Saccharomyces cerevisiae S288C: one gene and its partner. The protein of the gene in region 2 interacts with the protein of the main gene of each other region in a pairwise test. Each region holds a gene or a part of one and is shown on either strand. Other genes may lie near its edges. The genes, in order: STE14 and AVT4.

What was found.
Region 1: the proteins of AVT4 (region 2) and STE14 interact in a protein complementation assay, tested with the Saccharomyces cerevisiae proteins (one large-scale study listed by BioGRID).

Annotation. Positions count from the first base shown.
Region 1 is NC_001136.10:1,288,041-1,299,634, forward strand, and holds STE14 (protein-S-isoprenylcysteine carboxyl O-methyltransferase), read right to left. Parts: upstream 5,052-11,594; coding exon 4,332-5,051; downstream 1-4,331. Other genes in the region: ADE8 (phosphoribosylglycinamide formyltransferase), read right to left, coding at 175-819; SUMO ligase SIZ1, read left to right, coding at 1,366-4,080; DFM1 (Dfm1p), read right to left, coding at 5,329-6,354; rRNA-processing protein RRP17, read left to right, coding at 6,653-7,360; ERD1 (Erd1p), read right to left, coding at 7,558-8,646; YDR415C (putative aminopeptidase), read right to left, coding at 8,997-10,121; mRNA splicing protein SYF1, read left to right, coding at 10,392-11,594. UniProt on the Saccharomyces cerevisiae protein: Mediates C-terminal methylation of the isoprenylated C-terminal cysteine in A-factor mating pheromone and Ras proteins.
Region 2 is NC_001146.8:424,473-437,640, reverse strand, and holds AVT4 (Avt4p), read right to left. Parts: upstream 2,643-13,168; coding exon 501-2,642; downstream 1-500. Other genes in the region: MIC27 (Mic27p), read right to left, coding at 1-28; DNA-directed DNA polymerase alpha catalytic subunit POL1, read right to left, coding at 3,148-7,554; MET4 (Met4p), read right to left, coding at 7,888-9,906; 2-isopropylmalate synthase LEU4, read left to right, coding at 10,887-12,746; phosphatidylinositol-3-/phosphoinositide 5-phosphatase INP52, read left to right, coding at 13,146-13,168. UniProt on the Saccharomyces cerevisiae protein: Involved in amino acid efflux from the vacuole to the cytoplasm. Capable of transporting large neutral amino acids including tyrosine, glutamine, asparagine, isoleucine and leucine.

The DNA of each region.
Region 1 (11,594 bases), on a different chromosome or scaffold from region 2:
GATTAAGCGTTTACACATGCACATTCATATATAAGTATACGTATTTACACACATTTTATTCGAAACCTTTAAGATCGTTTTGTCACAATCCATGATCATGATTTACGACGCGAGATGTTTCGCGCCTCACTTTGAAGAATGCCAAATATAAAAGTATAAATATGGGAACTATTCTTATTTGTGAAGCTGCTGTAAAACCTTATATGTAGCTTCTACAATCGCGATGTGCTCAGCATCGTGTACCCTTTGCTCGTACTGCTCTAGTGTTTCTTCGCCAGGTATGATTTCTAGCTTTTTTACCACCAATGGCTCACCCTTGTCGACCTCCTCGATGACATAGTGCACCATGCATCCGGCCGTCAGAGGCTTGTTCTCGTCCTGACATTTGCGCCATGCCATTTCAATTGCGTGTGTGGTACCATCGAAACAACCTGGTAGCGCTGGATGCAGATTTAATATCGGCACAGATTGCAGTTGGCTCAAGAAAGTAGATCCAAGGATCAATAACCAGCCCGCGCAGATGATAACGTCAGGCTTTTCCTCGAGCACTAGTTTTGCGAGGTCGTTCTCAAACTGGGATCTTGCCTTGGCCCTTGCGGCTTTGTCCTCCTTCGCAATACCCTTTGTATATGGGTATAGCGAACAAACCTTTGTGGGGATATTATTGTCCGCTGCCCTAGTTAACCCGTATGCCTTCTTGCTGGAAGATATGACAGAGACAATATGAGCATCCTCGCCTAATTGGCCCTGCTTTTGGGCATCGATCAAGGCTTGCAAGTTGGAACCTGAGCCCGAAATTAATACGACAATTCTGGCCATAGCTTTTGGAAAGATTATTGATGTGTGTTGGCTCTCACCTGCGCTTGCTGCAAGTTAAATCATCAACCTTGAGGCTAGGAGCGTTATTCAACTTTAGAAGTGTCTTCTCTTCATAAACTACTCTATATAACTTTCCTCTTGCTGGAATAAAAAACAGGTCAGAGTCACTAGCAACGAGTCACTCATTCGAATCCTTGCTGACGCTTTTAGTCTTTATGCTGAAATCTATCTTCGAAGTCGGAAGGAAAATGCATTTTTAAACTATCACTAGAACTACCATTTTAGAGCGAGCAGAAGGTTCCTCTTTTCTTAAACAAGTATAATTTTCCTTTTTGGATTGTACTTTATATTCTTACACTAAACGGCCCCTAGATGTCACCTGAGCTGTAGTCAATGTATACACCCATTCACCGCACCAGATAGTAAGTTGAAAAGTGTATCATCTTTAATATGAATATGAAAGAATGAAGTGGAGTTCATCCATATTTCACAAGAAAAGAAGACTCCAACTCAAACAGTTGAGTGTTCCATATACATTCTGTTTCAATGATAAATTTAGAGGATTACTGGGAAGATGAAACGCCTGGGCCTGATAGGGAACCGACTAATGAACTAAGAAACGAGGTGGAGGAAACCATCACTCTGATGGAACTGCTGAAAGTGTCCGAATTGAAGGATATTTGCAGGTCTGTATCTTTCCCGGTTTCCGGTCGCAAGGCCGTTCTACAGGACCTTATCAGGAATTTCTTGCAGAACGCTTTAGTAGTAGGCAAGTCTGATCCTTATAGAGTTCAAGCCGTTAAATTTCTGATAGAACGGATCAGAAAGAATGAACCTTTGCCTGTTTATAAAGATCTTTGGAACGCTTTAAGAAAGGGTACCCCATTGAGTGCTATCACAGTACGTTCTATGGAGGGGCCTCCCACGGTGCAGCAGCAATCACCTTCCGTTATTAGGCAGTCTCCCACTCAACGGCGGAAAACGTCTACCACATCTTCCACATCTCGTGCACCACCACCTACAAATCCAGATGCCTCTTCTTCTTCATCATCTTTTGCTGTACCGACAATTCATTTTAAAGAGTCTCCATTTTACAAAATACAAAGGCTAATCCCTGAATTAGTGATGAACGTGGAAGTCACAGGCGGAAGAGGTATGTGCTCTGCGAAATTTAAATTGTCCAAAGCAGACTATAATCTATTAAGTAACCCGAATAGCAAACACAGGCTATACTTATTTTCTGGGATGATTAATCCATTAGGATCCCGAGGTAATGAACCCATCCAATTTCCATTCCCAAATGAATTAAGGTGCAATAATGTTCAAATCAAAGATAATATAAGAGGTTTCAAGAGTAAGCCGGGCACAGCTAAGCCGGCGGATTTAACGCCTCATCTCAAACCTTATACTCAACAAAACAATGTGGAGCTGATATATGCCTTCACCACGAAGGAATACAAGCTATTTGGGTACATTGTAGAAATGATCACTCCGGAGCAACTCCTGGAAAAAGTATTACAGCATCCAAAAATTATTAAACAAGCCACGTTACTTTACTTGAAAAAAACACTTCGGGAGGATGAAGAAATGGGCTTGACTACCACATCTACTATCATGAGTCTGCAATGTCCAATTTCGTACACAAGAATGAAATACCCTTCAAAATCAATAAATTGTAAGCATCTGCAATGTTTTGATGCATTATGGTTCCTACACTCCCAACTACAAATTCCTACGTGGCAATGCCCAGTATGTCAAATTGATATAGCTTTGGAAAATTTAGCAATTTCCGAATTTGTTGATGACATTTTACAGAACTGTCAAAAAAACGTTGAACAGGTAGAACTTACTTCTGATGGTAAGTGGACAGCCATATTGGAAGACGATGATGACAGCGACAGTGACAGCAATGATGGTAGTAGAAGCCCAGAAAAAGGTACTTCAGTATCGGATCATCATTGTTCTTCTTCACATCCAAGTGAACCGATTATCATAAATCTCGATAGTGATGATGACGAACCAAATGGAAATAATCCTCATGTTACTAATAATCATGATGATAGCAACAGGCATAGTAATGATAACAATAATAATAGTATCAAAAATAATGATAGTCATAATAAAAATAATAATAATAATAATAATAACAATAATAATAATAATGATAATAATAATAGTATCGAAAATAATGATAGTAATAGTAATAATAAACATGATCATGGTAGTCGCAGTAATACTCCCAGTCATAATCATACTAAAAATTTAATGAACGATAATGATGACGATGATGATGATCGACTTATGGCGGAAATAACTAGCAATCACCTTAAAAGTACTAATACAGATATTCTAACTGAAAAAGGTTCAAGTGCACCCTCGAGAACCCTGGATCCAAAAAGTTATAACATAGTTGCTTCAGAAACTACTACTCCGGTGACAAACAGGGTTATTCCTGAGTACCTCGGAAACAGTTCCAGTTATATTGGTAAACAATTGCCGAACATTCTGGGAAAAACGCCTTTAAATGTGACTGCTGTTGATAATTCATCCCACTTAATCTCTCCAGATGTTAGCGTATCATCCCCAACGCCAAGAAACACCGCTTCAAATGCAAGTTCGAGCGCTCTCAGTACCCCTCCCTTAATAAGAATGAGTTCATTAGATCCCAGGGGATCCACTGTTCCCGATAAAACAATAAGGCCTCCCATAAATTCCAACAGTTATACTGCATCGATATCAGATTCATTTGTCCAGCCTCAAGAATCTTCAGTTTTTCCACCACGTGAACAGAATATGGATATGTCCTTTCCTTCCACCGTGAACTCAAGATTTAATGATCCACGTTTGAATACCACAAGATTCCCTGATTCAACATTGCGTGGGGCAACTATTTTGTCGAATAATGGGCTTGATCAAAGGAATAACTCTCTACCAACAACAGAAGCAATCACGAGGAATGACGTCGGGCGACAAAATTCTACGCCTGTACTTCCCACGTTGCCCCAGAACGTCCCAATTCGTACAAACTCTAACAAGTCTGGGCTTCCTTTGATAAACAATGAAAACAGTGTCCCCAATCCTCCCAACACTGCAACCATACCGTTGCAGAAGTCCAGACTCATTGTAAATCCATTCATTCCAAGGAGGCCTTACTCTAATGTACTGCCCCAAAAAAGACAACTTTCTAATACATCCTCAACTTCACCCATAATGGGTACATGGAAAACGCAAGATTATGGAAAGAAATACAACAGTGGTTAAAAACGAGGCTAAAATTGGACGGTTCCGTCCAGCTCTTTCATGAAATATTTTCTTTGTAATTGTGCATATGACCTTCATTTTCTATAATTTTCCGTTCGAAAAAGAAATATTTTCTTCTTTTCAATACTCAAAGGCAATATCACTGTTTGCATTCCCCTAGCATTTATTACCTACCAAATACAGATGCACAAGATTAGATAAAATCTTACATAACACAAAAATCCAGTCCATAACTAACACAATCATTACTATTATATAAAAGGTATTCCGACACCAACCTTATTCTTGTATTCTATGTATTCCGCGCTAAAGAACTCTATCAAATATTTTTCTTCCACACGAATTCTATCACTGAAAAATTTCCAAAGTACAAAAATGAAAATAACCAATGATAGGGGATTTAGAAGCAGTAGCTGAGTGCCAATTGCCCACCAAAAGAACCCAAGATAACTTGGATGTCTTGACCAGGAGTAAACGCCAGTTTTCACTAAAACATGATCGGACTCCTTCTTGGTCTTCACAATATGAGAAAAGGAATGTCCCGCAGTATGCATAGCAATAGTTCTGGTATATTGTCCCAGAATAACTAGAAGACATCCAAGTACTGTACAAAGCTTGGTAGCTAGAGAGTAGCTAAAAATTTTCAGATCAGGAAAAAGAAAGCTTTCTACGAGGCATTCCAGAATAGCAAAGGAATGTGCCGCCATGTAACTTTTGCCGTTGTTCAGAAGAAAGGACTCTGAATGTACCTTAAGAGGATTGTATTTAGCTGTAATATAATACTCCAAAAAATGGAATAAGGACAGGGCAATAATAAAGAGGTTAAAATTCTTGAATCTAATTTGTGGAAAAAGACCAACAAATATACCTAAAAGAATCCCCAGTATGTAGGAAGTCATGGTCACCTCATGCAGCGGATTGCGTCTGATGTCTGGATACTCATGCTCGTCTTCTTGAAAATCTTGGTGCATGTTGTGTTCAAAAACGGTGACCACAATGAAAGAGGAGGTAAAAAGAGTAATTATCTTGAAATCGATTTTCACTTTCTTATATAATTCATCAACACGAGAACCTTTCTATATACTGGTGGTATCATGTAAAGAATTGTTTTACCATAGTGGCCCATTTGTCAATTCGTCTTGAGTGATGTTTCATTATCAATCGGTTGCTATGCCAACGAAAATACTATGTCAGACTCTCTTGATGTATATAATGAATGGCAAAGTACATAGAAATAGATAAAAGTTGTTATTGTGAGTCGGAGGGGCTGTTTGTTTGTCCTACTCGTTGGCCGCGGCCTTGAAATTGGTTCAAATTCGATGGGCCACTTCTTAATTGACTTCCAGAAGCTCTGCCTGAATCTGTGCCACTGGTTTGAGACAATGTTGCAGGGGCCGTACCCAATCGTTGACCTCTTCCACTAAAAGTTCTCGTTTCTCTTTGCGAAGATGGCACATTGGCAAAGTTGTTGTTGAATGTTGCAGTTTCATTGTGGGCACCCGTTATGCGAGCATATAGACTAGTAAACCACCATGGCGTTGAGAATTTCCCATTGGGCGAGATTCCGTAGGTTGGATCAGCTTTTCTGGATATCATCCCCCATATTGGCCCCAGTGTATGGGTATCTAAGCATGTATAAAGGTACCCTGTAGTAAAACCGATCAATGAGATTACGAAATCACCCTCATTAAAAACGAAAGAGATAAACAATTGAATTAAGGGGAAGTACTTCCCCCAAACAGGAATCAAACCATAAAACATGATCTGCACGTTGGCATTGTCGATCGACCAAGTATATGTAATGCATGATATGAACCCAGAGGTGAGCACAACAGGGTAGTAGGACCCATAAATGATTGTAGTGGCCGTAGTGATGGCTAGTATACAAAAGCACAGGTAGTAGGCATAGTCTACTGTTACCATCGGTCCTCGTCTATTGGACAAACCGGGACCAAAATGCCCTCGCTCCAACTGTGAGGACCTGTCATAAATACTATATAGTTCCATTAGCGCAGGCATGGCACGAGACGAAAGCATTACACAAGAAGTAAGAAGTCTCCATATCTGAACCTTCTTGAACGTCAAATTCCAAACATAAATAAAGTACCACGGATTGATTAGATTCAACCGGCCGACGATCGTCATAACGATCGCTAGAGTAAATAAAGTTCTTGTTATTGGGGGGATATTTAACCAGAATTCTTTTGGGCCCATCACATCATTATTACGGCCTCCATTTCCATGTAATGTACGCACATTCCTTGGGCCTGCCATTATTTCCTCGAAAATAGTTTTTGATTTGACTTGGAAATGCGGAATTCACTGGTAATTTGTTGTATTTTGCCTTATATCCTTTGTTTGATACTCTTGTCTTATATTGAAGAGGACACGATTTCATGAGCCGCGAACGGGTAAGTAGGGACTTTTCACATTTGAAATTTTTCAAATGTGATGAGGATCGATTCTGCAAAGCAGCAGATAATAGCAGATAAAAAATAGAGAGTTGCAATATTCAAGTTCCTGGTAGCTGCTCGAATCAAGAGGGGTGAATTAAAGGTTTTCGATTTTTGCTATGGCTGTTCACACCAATAGGCAAATCCTTACAAGAGGCAAAAACTATGCTACAAAGCAATCAAAGAAATTCGGTACCGATGAGGTGACGTTCGACAAGGATTCTCGTTTGGATTATCTGACTGGCTTTCACAAGAGAAAGCTTCAAAGACAAAAGAAAGCACAAGAGTTTATTAAGGAGCAGGAAAGGCTTAGAAAAATTGAAGAAAGACAGAAGATTCGGCAGGAACGTAAGGAGGTGATGGAAGAACAGTTAAAGACGTTTAAAGAGAGTTTAAACTTGGAAGCTGAGATAGAGGATGCGAAAAATGATAAGACGGAGGATTTGCAGGTAGAATCTGATGAATCCTGGCACGGGTTTGATTCTGATAAAGATGACGGCGATAACGACAATAATGAAAGTAGCGTAAAGCCTATTTTGAAGAAAGGAGCAATCACGGAAATATACGATGACTCAACTACTGTTGAATTGGAGACATTGGAACCCAATGATAACTTTGAATATTTAGCCCAGCTAAATAATGTCAAATTAGAAAAGGCAGAAAAAGTACTCAAACAAAGCATAAATAGAGCCACCAAATACGCGAAGTTTCTGGGCGTGGATGAGAAACAAAAGAAGAAGCCAAGAGTAAAAAAGTTCAGATATTTGACCAAAAATGAACGAAGAATAAACCAAAGAAAGGCAAACGACAACAAGCGTAGGAGATAATGCAGTCGCATTATCGTCGGGCACCGCCTGGGGTTTCTTGACGCTCAAACAGTGTTTGATTTTTTTTTGGAAAAGTATATACTGTGCATATGTATTTTTCGTTTATTATATGTAATATATCGAATAAACCATTCTACGGGGAAAATAGAACAAATATTTACAGCATTTGCATGATTTTATATGGCTTGCCCAACAAATTATTTGCTTGCAAACTTAATATAATACTCTGCGTCCAATTTGAAAACGACCCATATGCCTCTTCTAATTACTTCGAAATACTGCATTTCGCCTTGGAAAAAAATGTAGTCGCTATCTGCGGCAACTAATTTCAGATTCTGCGATAAATATACCCATAGCCACCAGAACCTCAGCAAAAAGTCAACGAGAATCGCCGAATGATACATTTTTTTCTTTAATGTGACGGCACTTTTGGATCTGGATCTTAAAGAGGTTAACGAGTCCAATGACCAATCCATCCTTACATCCCAAAATAACGTATAGGAAGAATTAATTAGCATAAACCATCTTTGAACGTGGTGTAGTCTTTCTTCGTTGATGGATCCCTCATACACTCTTGATCTCCAGGTGCAAAAAAGAATGGGAAGATTACAACTGTATTTCAATGCATTGAATAGTAAAGTTGCTTCGTGCAGTAAACGGTATTCTCTCAAACACTGCAGTAGTCTTACCAGTACAGGAAGAAGGGCTACGGATAGATCAAAATGTGTGAAGGGTTCTCTAAAAATTAGAGAGGTAAACAATGTGAAGTCTATCAATGGTTTTGCAAACGATGTCAACGTGTCAGAGATTAAAATGTAGGTATTCCTTAAGGAACGGGGGGAGGATTCTATCAACAAACATCTCCTAGTACAATATTTTATTATCTGGCACTCTTTCAACAGAAACCAAAATATAGTGACACATTGGATCAATGGTAGAAAATATACGATGAGAATGATATTTTTGAGTGGACCTTCTATAATATTCATGAACTCAAAAAGGAACACAGTGGCAAAGTGGAACGGTATAATAATCCTTGTTATCTTCAAAGCAAAATTTCTAGCTGTTCTATGCAATTGCTGTAGAGTATAACCTGGACGTATATCGTGCGGTACTCTCGTGAGTATGACTTGGGATACGTCTAAATTACTATGCAAGAAGAATTTTAATATCCATGTCCAGATCCAAAGGGCAAGTATTATGAGCACAATAAATCGCTGCGGAGGGGGAACATTTAATATATTTTGGAGATAAAGTCCTTCAGAATTACTTTCGCTTTTCTCCATATTTTGCGGCCCAACTTGTTGCAGAATTGAAAACTTTGTATAATACTAATAATAATTTATAATAATAACAATAATAATTTATAACAATAATAACAATGCCAAACAATTTATATGGGTAACCAGTTTTTGGTACTGTTTGCCATCAATATTGCGACTAAATCGGGAGCGGTTAGCGCTGGCTTGCACTTTTTGCAACTGACTCTATTTCTTTCATTGATTATGTTATTTTCAGATGACGAAATACGCCAAAAAAATTCGGGAAATAAATACTAGCGTGATATCGGTTTAGGTATATTACAAAAGAACACCAAGGTAAGGCATCATTAGTTATGTATGCATATTACTGACTTTTACCAAGCGGACCATGACCCGAGTTCAATGATTACCCCTAATACAATTTTTGTGTGTTCCGCCATATGAGCGAGACTTAATCTGTCCAAAGTATCCATGGTGCTGTGAATATACTTGTTAGTCTTTTTGAACTCACTTTCAATCACGAAGGAGCCTGGAAATCCGTTTCTGGTGGCACTCCCATGATCGCTACAAGCATAGCCACATTGTGTATCCCTGTAAGGAATGGATAGATAAGAGTTGATAATTAGTTTTATAAAATCAGTTAATGCGGGAGTAGTGTAGTCGGTGACAATCCCCACATGTTCATCTTCTGGATCAGAAACATATCCCGTCATGTCTTGCTGAAGCATCGCTCTCACATGCTTTTTCTGTTTGGCATAAGCTGTAAAAACATCAAGAGAACCCAACAATCCCCCCTCTTCGGCGGAATAAAAGTGAAATTCCACAGTGTTGTTAGGTCTAAATCCTCTCTTCAAAAAATTTTCCGTATATAATCTGAGAGCCTCCATATTAGTCACCGTGCCTGACCCATTGTCGTCCGCACCTGGAGCTGCCATTATGGATGGCAGTAGCAGATTGATAGAATCTTGATGAGAACCAATTATTATAATATCTTCTGGCGTAGTAGATCCCGTGACACGGACTATAATTGAATATTGCTTCCATTCTTTGTGATCAAAATGTTCAATAGTCAACGTATCTTGCGGAATATCTTTTGTAATATTAGCGATAGTTGCAGCTAACCACTCGGCAGATTCAAAGCCGTGATCGGACTTGTAGTAACGGGTGTAAAAACTTGTAAACTTTGCCAAGTTCTTGTGCATAGAGCCCTTGTCTATATTCTTAATCGAATCATCCACTACTTCTTTGTTCGATATCTCAGGAGGATAGTTATACGTTGGTACTGTTGGCTCTTCCTCCTTGTTAAAGAAAGGTAAGAAAGAAGTGTGTTTGGTCACATCAAAGAATTTGACACCTCTTCTTCGTAAGTTTAGCTTTTCTGATTCGGGAACCTCCATTACCTCATTCTCTCCTACTTGTAAAACCCTTAAAGGCTCATATGGATATGACCATGCGATGATGGCAACATTAAATAAAACAAAAAGCGACTGTATCCTCATATTGTGCTAATCAGCGGTTGATTATGTTACTTACTTTTTCGAATAAAGATTTTGTATTTCTTTAGCTTCGAAGATTGATAATTATTGAATATCAAGTTTCAGTTTACTATAGCGGTCCGAACATATGAAAGATTTTAGTAAAGACGCTGGCAAGCTTTTCAGTCAAAATAATACAAAAGGAAATAGATAGAAAAAAAGGAAATAATCAGGCCTCCATATTGGACTCAACTATCCTTCAGTACCGCAAAACTTATTGTGTCCATATATCCTATGTCAGCATACATCGCAATGAAAGGAGTAATAACAAACGTCGATGAGAACATAAGAAATGATGAAGATGTGGCTTTTGAGTACGAAATACAAAAGACACCGCAGAACATACTTACATGGAAAAGATATATCGAGTATTGGAAAGAGGAGGGAAGAACTGACAAACAGATTAGGTGGCTATATGAAAGATTTTGTTCACAATTTGTAACAGATACAAGTATATGGGAAGATTATATACGCTGGGAATCAACAAAGGAAGTAGTCGAAACTTCACGTATTTTCTGGCTTTTTCAAAGGTGCCTGAAAAGCTGTGTACGAGATTGTGACAGGATATGTTTGTCTTATTTAGAATTGGCAATTGAACAATATGACTTGGCAATGATAAGGCATGCCTTAGCTTCATCTTTAATGAAAATGGAGAGAGAAATGCATCGGAAAGTTTGGGATCCTGTCATAAAATTTGTGGAAGAAAAAGTTTTACCATTAACGCAACTGGATTCAACTCAAGAAGATGAAGAAGAAAGTACTGATGAAGCTGAATTGATAAATGTACTTTTAGTGAAGGGTTTCACGAAGGGAGGTTTTATTAGCGAGGAAATTAGTGAAAACGGAAGTAGAGGTGATATTTGGTCGTCACATATTTTAGAAAGATACTTAAAAGTGGCTCCTCAGCAAAAACGAAATGAATCGCTGGCAACTCTTGCATTAACTAGAGACAATATTACCATCAAATCAGTATATGAAAAGTATTTGCCACAAGATGAAAATAGTGGGAAGTATCTACCTAGTTCAGAACTGCCTTTTGAATTAAATTTCAATTATTTGGCCAGCCTAGAAAAACTAGGTTTAGATAATCAATATGAGGAGTTCATGAGGCAAATGAATGGCATATATCCCGACAAATGGCTTTTTTTGATCCTATCACTTGCCAAATATTATATCTCTCGCGGGAGGCTTGACAGTTGTGGTGATTTATTGAAGAAAAGTTTACAGCAAACACTTAGGTACAGTGATTTTGATCGCATCTATAATTTCTATTTGCTATTTGAGCAAGAGTGCTCCCAATTTATTCTGGGAAAGCTAAAGGAAAATGACAGCAAATTCTTTAATCAAAAAGATTGGACTGAAAAGTTACAAGCTCATATGGCGACATTTGAATCTTTAATCAACTTATATGATATCTATTTGAACGATGTCGCACTA
Region 2 (13,168 bases):
CATCCACGTCATCATAAAAATTTACCATTTTGGAAGCTGTATTGGTAAATGGTGTGCTGCTTCTGTCTTTGACTGCTTACTTTAATTATGAAACTATCACATTGTCATTAATCCCACTCTACTCCTTGATATGTTTAAAAGTTCTCAGGTTGTCGGGGCATTAAGCGGAGTAATCGGATCAAGCTTATTCGCAGATTGGAAAAAAAAATAAAATTCTGGCAATCTTGAACTTGATAATAAATATGAAATTGTGTATATTCAGACATGCTCACCACCTACTAATCGTAGATGGAACATTAAATAACAATATAGGGGTAATGCTTTTAGTGTTTTTTACCTACTACATAATTTCGTGCGAATAATACTGTGACCTGGCGGTCCTTGTTTATATAAAGTGAATTAAGAAGACGTTTGCAACTGCAAGCTGTCAATGGCGACAATGGCAAAATAGTGTTCCTCGATTCCAAATAAATTCTTTATGAAGCAACAACATATATCGTCTAGACACCGAATATACTCTGGTAAGACGTATAAAGCATGCTTGCAATACCGAAGAAAATTAAAATGGTATCTAACATTGGTTTGAATCTCCAAAATTCCCCTTTAGTCTCTGGAAGGCTATTGCCCCGTAAATGCAGCATCGATGGGTATATATATACCAAAGGAATACAGGCGAGGGATCCTATAACTGAAACGAACTTGTCTAAATTATCAGACCCAAAGTAAGCAATTGATACAACAATGATTACGATTATAGAACGAATAAAGTTCTTCAGCCATTTAATTTTCCAGTTCAGCTTTCCTGAATTAGGACGTAATTCGACTCTTGTTGTTAGATCATCGTGCTTGACATATATTTTAGTGAACTTTGGAAAAAACTTATTTTCAATAATTTTAATAGCTGGAAACAACTGCAAAGGTGTGGACAACATAATTGCGATGGAATAGAACAGCTGGATTAAGTTTACAAAAATGTTACTTTGAGGTAAGTTCAACAGTATAACCGTTTGAACATTTGAGCCGTATGCCAAATATCCCAATGTAGCTATGGAAATGAAAAGTATGGTTGCCGTTAGAATCACCAAAGCAAGTACTAAAGGAAATTTTTCAGGATTTCTCATTGAGTCTTGAACAGGAATAATTAACCCGATTCCTTCGAAAGCAAATATTGCCGTCCCGATAAACAGCGTCCAACGGTCTGCATTTAAGCCATAGACGACACCCATTGCTGGGGTCCCCATCAGGTCAAAAAACAACCTTTTGGCTGTAAAAATAATGACAATGACTAAACCAGCCATGATGAAAAAATTTGCTAGTAAAGATGGTAGTGACAATTTCGAAATGTTTCTAATAAACGAAAGTGGAATAAAAATGATCGTTTGAAAGACCATCAGGTAAGATAAAGGTAGGACGCCCACATGGAATACGTTATCAAGAAAAGCTTGTAAATTTTTTGCAGTAAATATCATATAAGCTCCAGAGAATCCAACTTGAGTTATTACTAGGGAGAAAAGAATTATTATTCTCATCCAAGGTCCATACAGTTTTAAACCAATATCACCAAAGGAGGATACACCGCATGAAGATTTGGCCTGCACCAATATGTAGTAACACCAGTATGAATAAATTCCAAAAAAGGCCAGCATACTTACTGAGAAAAACAAACCACCATTATGAAAGGCATTAGGTAAAAATAAAACGCCAGTTCCAATGAAAGATTTAAGCAATATCAAAAAAACCTTCTTTGTCGAAGTCGTACCTTTGGCTGAAGGTAATACTTTCATATGGTCAGGCCGAGACAGCAATGCACTCCTTTCATCTTCTCCGCGTATCATCATGTTTGAGCTATCAGGGATAAAATCATCCTCGAAGGATTCACCAGCAAAATGTCCAAACACGTATAGAAATTCCAAAAAGTTTCTTGTTAAAAAGGGGACCTTATCGATATCTTGGTTAGAAGATGGAGATGACTGGTTAATCGAATCGCTTTCATGCGAAGTGAAGTCTGAGCTAGCGGAATCATTTAATTGATGTTCTTGCCTTTTTTTGTTGACAATAAATTCCCTTCTGAAGCCACCGGGGACATTTAAACCACTTGCTGATGACAATTTAGTATGGTGCTCAATTTTAGGTGTTACATTTTCCATGGACCGAGGGCGTCTGAGCCGTTTAGGATCCTCTGCTTTAACCAACTTGTAAATATCATGCGTTATGTCGCCTCCAGCGCTACTCAGGTTAGTCTCATCGTCATCACTATCAACATTTGCTGCAGCTATGGTACTTGCTGAAGAATTCTTAGTCGGATTAACCCTAGGGATTGCTTCATTTCCATGAGAGACGGAACTTCTTTTGCTACTGTTCAAGTAGTTAAGCCGTACACTGTTTATAATCTCATCTCTGTGGGGATCCTCCAGAGTCTGAAAATTGGGAGAAGACATATCCACAAATACTCTAGAATCAACGCTTCGACATATATCCCTCGGCGTTAAGGTAGACATAGAATACTTCCTACTATAAAATGGGTTTGAATTGAGAACTGTTGATTGAGCCCTTCTGGGAATTTTCATATTATTGGAAGGATGCCTTAAATTTCCGTTTCTTCGGATCCCAAGGTGCTCACCATCTCCATTGTTAGTGACCATTGATGATGTGTTCTAGGATATTGTTATGTTGATTCCAGATTATGAATGACGTTGAAATGTGTTTTAGAGGAGGAATGATGAGTGCCTTTGAACCTAAGGAATCAGATGGCTAAAAATGCTATGTCACCTCGAAAGCAAGAGCAGATCAAGGTAAATGATATCCAACTATATTGTGGGTATTGCTTTTATCAAACTGGCTTATGACAGTGCTTCACAAGATTTAAGCATTCTATTTCATTGATGAAGCTGTTCGCTTATCTGATCTTGCTGATAAGGCGAATCTTAATGCATGGGTTTATTAAAGGATGATGCATGTGAGAACTGATCACCAGAGCCGAAAAAACATTCTCAGAATATCGCTGAAAACCTTCAATAATAAAAGCTTCCTAGCGCTCCTTCCGATGTCTGTACATTAGGTATCTAGTAGGATGCGTATGTACAGTTGTATTCTTTTCTTACTATATAGAATATTCATGAGATCACACAACACATACAAAATACTTACCTAATTTAGCATGAAATCAAATATGCTAGTCATATCAACGTAGCGACGTCCACAATCGTTCAAATATTTTTGAACAACGCTCCGGCCGGTTTCCATTAGTTCTCTGTTTTGTTCTGTTAAAGCCTTAATAGATGATTCTGTCAGCTGTTCCTTGGGGTAGTCGAGATCATCGGGTAGATATATTGGCTTCAATTCTTGCTTTTTATTTTTTTCACAATCGAATAAAGAATCGAAATATAAAAGTTGATTGTACAATTGCTTGTCACTGTATTTGTATCTCATGACACCCGTGCAGCCGTCATTCAAACAACGCTTACCAAAAACGGAGACTTGTCTTGTAACTATACCGCATGTGCTGTCATCACACTGTAACCACCCTGCGTAATATAAGGAAATGTGTGCCCTTATAGAATGCTCTATTTGGCTAGTTAATTGAAGAGGAGTAAAAAGTTGCTCACAATGCTTGCACTGTAAACCATTATATGACACGCGATAGTAATTTGAAGATACAATACCACCAAATGGAAACCTTTTATCGCATGATGGGCAACTTAATTCTAATGTTACAGTATCCTTAAACCTTTCAACGTCTGTAATTGTTGTTTCTAAGGGTTGCAAATTATTAATATCTTCTCCATTGTTATTACCGCCCTCTCTTCTAAAATACTTTTTACTATCTAAACCAAGCGCTTCACTCAAACGCACCACGTTGAAGCTATCAATTCTTTCTAACAACCTTTCTACCGGCGCGAATATTTGTTTCTCGAGATAATATTGTGGATCAGGTATCAAATTGTTACTTTTAATCATTACCTCATTCAATGCATGGGCACGTTCAGCCACAGAAAGAGCCGGCGTATCCGCTGCATTGTCTATTTCATCCTGCTTTGTGATCACAAAAGTGATGACAGAGCCAGCTTTAACAACTCTACCAGCCTTACGCATTCTTAGAGCTACTTGGACTGCAGGCATGTTTTTACCACCTGGGTAGGCCTTGGGATCTTTTGAAAGCTTCATATTGATCTTATATTTATCAATTCTAATGTTATTGGTTTCCACTTTTATTCTGATGTCTTCTAAGTAATCATACACTTCTTGCAATGCTTCTTCTGGGTCCTTATCTGACAGGATGGTGTTTAAAACATGTATAGAAACGTCCCTCGAAAGTGGACAAAATTCACGACGCTTCATGTCCAACCCTTTAACTTCTAGAACAGTAGTTCCATTACCATTTTTGTCCAAATTTACAGTCAAAGCAGCGTACTTTTTCTTGGCATGTAATAGTAACTTCTTAAAAACATTATCAATATCAATCTCCAATAATCTATAGCGCTCATTTACTAGCCTTTTAAATCCCAAGCCAATTTTAATTGCATCCGCATAATTATCACAACCGGTATCTATCATGACCGAATCTGTATCACCATAAACTACAAGAAGATTCATACTTTCAGCTAGTTGTCTTGTATTCATTAAAATCTCACGACCCTTATTAGTGACTAACATGGCGAGCGGCTTTGCGTAAAATCTACTGTTAACATAACCCAAACAACCATACATAGAATTGGCAGTCAATTTTAGAGCTTGTTGACGAATATCACATTGAACTCGCTTATGGGGATCAGTTTCAGTTTTCATCACCTTCTTAACTTCACGTCGACGATCCACCAGATTAGCTAATAACCTTGGTAAAACACCCTGATCCACCTCTGAAGGAGGTACGCTTGGTAACTCATCGATATCTTCCTTATTTCTATCAACGGTGGTAAAACATATATTAAATTCCTGGATAATAGATGGATACAAAGAATTAAAGTCCATGACTAAAACGTAATTCTTATGAAGACCTTTCTCAGGTTCAAAAACTAAACCACCCTGATATTTTGCCTTTTTAGAATTAACTGGTGCATCAGCATTTTCTTCATTTTGTCTTTGTTTCTGAGCTCTACTTCTATTGCCTTCTTTGTCAGGAACAATAAAACCATTTCTTGAAAATTCATGTAGTAAGATATACTCATTTCTACCAGCTCTTGTACCGCCTAGCGTTTGGGCCCATGCATTACCAGCCAAATTTGTCAACTGTTTAGTCAAGGTTAATAATTGAATTCTATAAGACACCTCAGCAGAAATCATACAATTAGTAATATTCTCTTGTAGGGCCATTGTCATACTATTTACATCATTTTGGTATTGTGGATTTTGATAATCAATATCTAACGGCTTATGCTCCTTTTCACATGTAACTTGATACATCTCTGAAAGATCCCAACTTTGACATTTGGGTGTTAATGATTGACCCATTTCATTGGCGATATCACATATCAGCCTACCAGAGCAAATGTCACTAATAAAAAAATGGTTCATATTCGAATTTCCTCTACCGAATTTTTCAGGCCAAGTCCTTCTTAAACGACGGCCAATAGAGCTGAACGTTGGAATGTTGAGATCATGCATTCTATGAGCTAAAACATCTAAGTAGACATTTTGCAAACGATGGCCTATGATAACATCTGGGTCTTCCACTTTTAACATAGCACAAAAACAAGATAGCATGGCCTTTTCGTTGTTGAACAACCTGACTCTACCGGGTAGTTTCTGTTTTGCCAGTGCAGCTAAACCTAATGGGAAACTAGTTGACTGAGGCGGCCTTACTAAAGTACACAAGTCGTCTGGTTTTATATTTTCAGGTATCGGTGAATCCAACGAGATATTTCTATATGCTGATAACGTTATCGAAACAATCTCTTGCTTATTTTCCTTGGGATTCATTAACGTCTGAATCGATAAAGATAGACATCTCAGATTAGGCATTGTCTTTGTTGTAGTAGGCGTGATATTCTGAGGCTTATCTACCGAAACTTCAACCGCACAGTGAGAAGCATTACGAATTGAATTGAAATCTGCTCCCTTTATATCTAACCAGCATGGTCCCATAATCCTATTTTGAATAACAAAACTTTCAAAAATATTGGAATTCCCACCAAAAACATGATAAAAGGTATCGCTAGATAAATCCGATGGAATGGTGTCTCGACTGGACTTCGGTGTTTGGTATGGAAGTAAGACTTTCAAATAATCACTTTCAGATGGAATGTCAGGAAGCTCAAACGAATATTTCATTTTTTGAGGTTTAGCGCGGATATTATCCAGTCCATATTTATCCATCAGTAACGGAATTATTTCCTCGTGTATATCGGTAGGTGTTTTACCCTCTCTTGGAAGGAAAAATAGCTCTCTACAGAGACCGTTGATTTGAACCATGGCTGACACACAATTATCATCCTTTAGTTTAACCTTACCAAATAAAATCAAAGTGTTGTTCACTTCACAGTAATCCAACCAAAACATTTGGAAAGTATCAGTTTCCGGATCTACCACATCTTCCTTTTTGACATTAACCGCAAGTGTAGCAACATCGGTGTTGCTCTGCAAAGATTTACTTGGAGTTAGTCCTTTAATACCGATTGGCGTTCCGGGTGCTGTGACAAACGGTGAAGTTGAAGGGTTACTTCTTGAGTCTATATTCACGCGTCTAGTTGTTGTCACACTTCTCATAGTTCTTCTTTTCAGAATAATATCTTCATCACTATCTTCATCATCTTCTTCATCAGCCAAACTTTGAGCGGATGGTGGATTTGCTAGTAACGTATCTTGAAGTACATTCTGTCTCTTTGTGGCTACTACTGGGGAATTTTCCACATCATCCAATAAATCCTGTACATCATTTGCGTAGCGCAGTTTCCTGCTTTGTAATTTTAACGGTGATGATTCGATTTCTAAATATTTATCAGTACTTGAATCTGGATCAATCTTGACTTTTTTAGAAATACCGGCATCATGACTTGACTCATCGTTTCCGTTAACTCTCTTTATTGACGATTTAAATTCACTAGTCGGCGAAGAATTTAAATTTTCCCTTAATTTGGATGGCAGTAAAATATTGGGTTTTTCTACTTCACCAGATTCAAACTCACCAAGAATGTCATCAAAATTATCGATGGGGATACTTTTTTTTTGGGATTTTTTTGCATGTGCTAGCAGTGTTGATTTGGAATGTTGAGTTCGCAGCATATCTGTAATCTGGTGGTCTTTCTCCCTTTTTATATTCTTCTTCCTTTTAGAATCCTTGCTAGCAAGGTTTCCAGTGTCTTCATCACTTGAACTGTTATCAACTTCCCTCCAATCTTCTTCGACACCACGATCGACGTAGCCTACACCATCGTCATCTACAACAAAATCGTCATGCAGCAATTCCTGGCGCTTTCTGGCCCTGTATTCTTTTTCGTCGATTTCGTCGTATATTCTGTCACCATCTGATTCGTCACCTTCGTAATCATCGATGGATGTACCATTTCGAGCGGCTTGCAGCTTTCTCAATTTTTCTAATTTTTCACTTTTAGAAGACATTTTCCACTGTTTATTTTATGCCTTGATACTATTTGGTTTCTAATAGCAGAGTGAAGACAGTTTTTTTTCTCGTGAGTCTGAATTGGTATGTGTTCGTTGTCTAGACCAAGAAGATATATATCATCCAATGAGTAAAGAATTTAATTCAGTAAAATTGGATACACGCGACGCGTTTTACTTATAGGCTAACAAAAAAATTTTAACGCGTTTGAATAGATGTGTGATGAATGAAGAATAGAGATTGCAGGCAGTACAAGAAAAAAGTTATATTTCTTTAAGAAAAATGCACGTATATATATATATATATATAATTAAACTGTATAGTCTGTTATTTTATTCTTTCTGAACCTTCTCAAAAATTTGCTTCTTTAAGCTTTCAGCTTTTTTTATTCCTTCCGTTTCACCGCTACTCAGAACTAAATTCTTTAAAAGCTTGTTTTCCGTTTCTAACGTATGTATCCGTTTTTGTAAGGATGCTGCAATTTCGGTCAGTTCATGTATCGATGATTCTAACTCCTTTTCCTTTAGTTTTTTTTTTTGATGAGATTTTTTCGACTGTATCAATAAATCTTCATCGTCGTCCCCTAACTCTTTCTTGATCAGTTGCTTCTTTTCAAAGCCGTGTAAATCTGCATCGTCATATTCATCGTCTTCATTATCAGAATACTTGCGGTCGACGGGTACTTTTTTATTTTTCAAATCTCCGGAGTGTGATCTTTTTAAACTATTTTCCTTGTGATCAGAAGAACTTGCATTTAAAGTTGGCTCGGATCGTATCTTGGCAATTTCGTCTCCACGCGTCGTACTTGACTTAATAACAGCGTTATTATGATGGACATTATCGTTTCCATTGTTACCGTCACTCTCTCTTGATATTTTATGATCGTTTCGTGAAGGTTGTCGTTGATTGTGAATATTATTACTTTTTGGATGCTTTATGCCCAGTTCCAAAATGGAGCTTAGAAAAGAAGCCTCTGCTACTACACCGTGCTCATTGAACGAAGGCGACGTTGATAAGGTAGTTGGCGCAGCAGTTTCAGCCGGAGAGGGTGGTATTAAGACACTTAAAAGTTCGTTGATGTTTTTTAGAATGGGTGCCTCTTGACTGTCATTGGTGTTGATGTTTTTATTATTATTACTGTTATTTTCCCTAATCTTTTTTTGATGATGATACGCCATTATTGCGGCTATAGCATCTATTTGATCATTGTCAAATCCCGCGCTGATCAACGAGTTATATGCGCCGTTGGGCACGTTGACCCTCGGTAATAGAGTTACTAAAACAGAGGTTGGTATAATTGAATAGTCAGGAACAGTTATATTGGGGGCTTTGTTGGAGCTGTTATTATCGCTGTTACTATCGACTTTGCTTTCCGAATGTTTTCGTTGTTGTGAAGAGGAATTTTGAGCAGAAGTGACATTGCTTAGGGGGGAGGAGCGGTTCGGTGTGTGTGTTGTCCTATGTAGTAGATTTGATAGCGCATCCACTCCATTGTCACCGGTAGTATTGTTCTCAGTTGATGTAATGTCAACATTTGTGAAGCCGCCATGGTCGATTGATGTCATATTAGTTGCGTCAGCGGGAAACTGAGAAGGGCTTCCCATAAAGTTTGGCTCAAAAGGATGGTTATTTTGCATATTGTCGCCAAAGTTGTTTGTTTCGCCGTTATTGCCATTTCTTTTGTTTTTGGACGAAAATCGAGACTTTGATTGGTCGTATTGGGAAGTTAGGAAAGTATTCCTTCTTTGAGTCAAGAAGTGAGGATTTCTTTGTCTATTATTGGTAGAAGGGTCCTCATGCAATACGTCGTGGTTGCTATGGTCGTCATTACCATTATTGCTGTTGTTATTGTTATTGCTCGGCTTATCCTCGTCTGGGAAGATGAAAGAATCGTCGGCAAACGCACTCAACTCAATGGCTAGTTGTTCATCCAAGTCAAAAGGATTTGCATTTATGCTGCTGAAAGTGTCCGCGCCATTATTGTTTGCATTATTATGGGTGGTATTCACATTCCAATCCACATTAGAGAACTCGTTATCCAGAGATGGTATGAAGTTATCCACGTAGGCCAACTGTTCTAAGAGTATTTCTGGCGTGACAGCGTGGTCATATAGGTTAGTGTTGCCCCTATTGGTAACGTCACCTATTAGGGGGCGCCTATTCTCGCTGCTGGTCACCAGAGAAGATGACGATGAGGCTGTTGCCACAAACTGGTCCAACGAGTTCGTGCTCCCCATGCCATTATTATTAGCACCGTTGTTGCTGCTAGGGTGTGTTGCGGTATCTTTGCCAAAGAGATTTATGAATTCCGTGCTGTATGAGTCGCCTTCGTGGGACTGCTCCTGCTTCATCGTTCACAGTGGAAAAAAAGGAATAAAAGTGCTTATCAGAAGTGCGCTTTATTGACGAGAGTCTGTCTAAACAGTTGACGGACAGGCAAGAAGACCTTCAGGAGTTGACTAATATATGAAATGATGTGCGTTCAAACAGACCGTTTCACCTGGCACAGATGCATGTAAACAAGGATATACGTTATTACATGCTACGGCTACATCTAGATTGGGTGGATTTAAGTTGAACGATGAAAGAAAATTCAAGCAATATGCTTGTGTGGCCCGATGACACACAATAGCATGTGCGACGAGACACCAGCTGTGTGCCGGGTGCTACCCGCGCACGTGATTAAAAGGAAACGGGGAAAAAGCCATAGCGGAAAAGTGCTCGAAGAAGCCTCGATAAATGAAGTAAAAAATTCGATATTTTTCAACGACAATAAGACGTATATAAGCATCCGTATGTCCAGCGATTGAGCTTATGCTTCTGTTCTCCGCTTTGACACTTCCACTCGGCTGTTATGACCAGCCCCAGGATTGCTACCGGAGCGGGACCGGCTCTGAGACAGTAGTAGGTTAGTCATCGCTCTACCGACGCGCAGGAAAAGAAAGAAGGCCTCAGAAAAGCTGAGTTGAATGTGTGTCATACTTGGCTGAAAAAATTGTACAGTAACGGCCAGTCACTGTCATGCGCGTGCATGTATGTGCGTGCATGTATGTGTGTATGTATATTTATATATATATAAGCACGGGCGCATGGGAGATGTGCGCTATGGAGTCGCGTAGGTTCGATGTTTTCTCCTCTTGGGTCAGCCTCTCTCCTCTTTCAACGTTCTTTCCATAATCATTTATTGGTTATTTTTCAACTTGACCAGTAAAAAGAAACTTACGTGTAAGTGACTCAGTTCTTTCAAAGGGTATTTTTTGAAGAAAAAAAAGGATTCTCACACTAGAAGTTTACTGTAGACTTTTTCCTTACAAAAAGACAAGGAACAATCATGGTTAAAGAGAGTATTATTGCTCTTGCTGAGCATGCGGCCTCCAGAGCCTCAAGAGTTATTCCTCCAGTGAAGCTAGCCTATAAAAATATGCTTAAGGACCCTTCCTCCAAGTACAAGCCATTTAACGCTCCAAAGCTATCTAATAGAAAGTGGCCGGATAACCGGATCACGAGGGCTCCTCGTTGGTTATCAACAGATTTGAGAGATGGTAACCAATCTCTGCCGGATCCCATGTCAGTGGAACAAAAGAAAGAATACTTTCACAAGCTGGTCAATATTGGGTTCAAAGAAATCGAGGTTTCCTTCCCCTCTGCATCTCAAACAGATTTCGACTTCACTAGATATGCTGTAGAAAACGCCCCAGACGATGTTAGTATTCAATGTCTTGTCCAATCTAGAGAACACTTGATTAAGAGAACGGTGGAAGCATTAACAGGTGCTAAAAAGGCTACTATACATACTTACTTGGCAACAAGTGATATGTTCCGTGAAATTGTTTTTAATATGTCTAGAGAGGAAGCTATTTCCAAGGCAGTAGAGGCCACCAAACTAGTTAGGAAACTAACTAAGGATGACCCTTCCCAACAAGCCACTCGTTGGTCCTATGAGTTTTCCCCCGAATGTTTCAGTGATACTCCAGGTGAATTTGCTGTAGAAATTTGCGAAGCTGTTAAGAAGGCTTGGGAACCTACCGAGGAAAATCCAATCATTTTCAACTTACCTGCTACCGTAGAAGTTGCCTCTCCAAATGTTTATGCTGATCAGATTGAATACTTCGCTACCCATATTACTGAGCGTGAGAAGGTTTGCATCTCTACACATTGTCACAATGACCGTGGTTGCGGTGTCGCCGCCACAGAGTTAGGTATGCTTGCAGGTGCCGACCGTGTAGAAGGATGTCTCTTTGGTAATGGTGAACGTACAGGTAATGTGGACTTGGTTACTGTTGCTATGAATATGTATACCCAAGGTGTTTCTCCTAATTTGGATTTCTCTGACTTGACCTCTGTCCTAGATGTGGTTGAGCGTTGTAATAAGATCCCAGTATCGCAAAGAGCACCATACGGCGGTGACTTGGTCGTTTGTGCCTTTTCCGGTTCTCACCAAGACGCCATTAAGAAGGGTTTCAACTTACAAAACAAGAAGCGTGCTCAAGGTGAAACTCAATGGAGAATCCCATACTTGCCATTGGATCCAAAGGACATTGGCCGTGATTACGAAGCTGTCATCAGAGTCAACTCTCAGTCTGGTAAAGGTGGTGCCGCTTGGGTTATTTTGAGATCTTTGGGTTTGGATCTACCAAGAAACATGCAAATCGAATTTTCTAGCGCCGTTCAAGACCATGCTGACTCCTTGGGTAGAGAACTAAAATCAGATGAGATTTCCAAGTTATTCAAAGAGGCTTACAACTACAATGACGAACAGTACCAAGCTATTAGTTTAGTCAATTATAATGTTGAAAAATTCGGCACTGAACGTAGAGTGTTCACTGGTCAAGTCAAAGTAGGCGACCAGATCGTCGATATTGAAGGTACAGGTAATGGTCCAATCTCTTCTTTGGTCGACGCCCTATCAAACTTGTTGAACGTGAGATTTGCCGTAGCAAACTACACAGAGCATTCTCTAGGTTCTGGTTCTTCTACGCAAGCTGCTTCTTACATCCATCTATCGTATAGGCGTAATGCCGACAACGAAAAGGCCTACAAATGGGGTGTAGGTGTCTCCGAAGATGTCGGTGATTCTTCAGTGAGAGCCATCTTTGCCACCATTAACAATATTATCCATTCTGGTGATGTGTCCATTCCATCTTTGGCCGAGGTCGAAGGTAAGAATGCTGCGGCATCTGGCTCTGCATAAGAACTTTTCTGTATTTCAGGACTTATTCGCTTCTATTTATTTCTATACTTATTTATTTACTTCCTTTCCTTTTTTTTTAACCATATAATTACTAGAAGCACGGATGTCTAAATTAGAATTACGTTTTAATATCTTTTTTTCCATATCTAGGGCTAGTGCTTGTTTTTCTTTTTTTAGTATATTCTTGAACCAAATACGTGTGGGGTGACCCGAAACTTGTTTGGCGGTTAGTGACGAAATTGAAACAAACCTGGAGTTATTAAGAGAGATTTAACTGGAAAACTAGGCATAAAGGACAATAAGTACTCGCTTCATATAGTCTCAACATATTTTTGTTCGCAGAATTGGTGACAAAGGCCACGCAAAGGCAGCAGAATCAAAAACAAATACTCAGTAGCTATGAAAATACTCCTATCGAAACA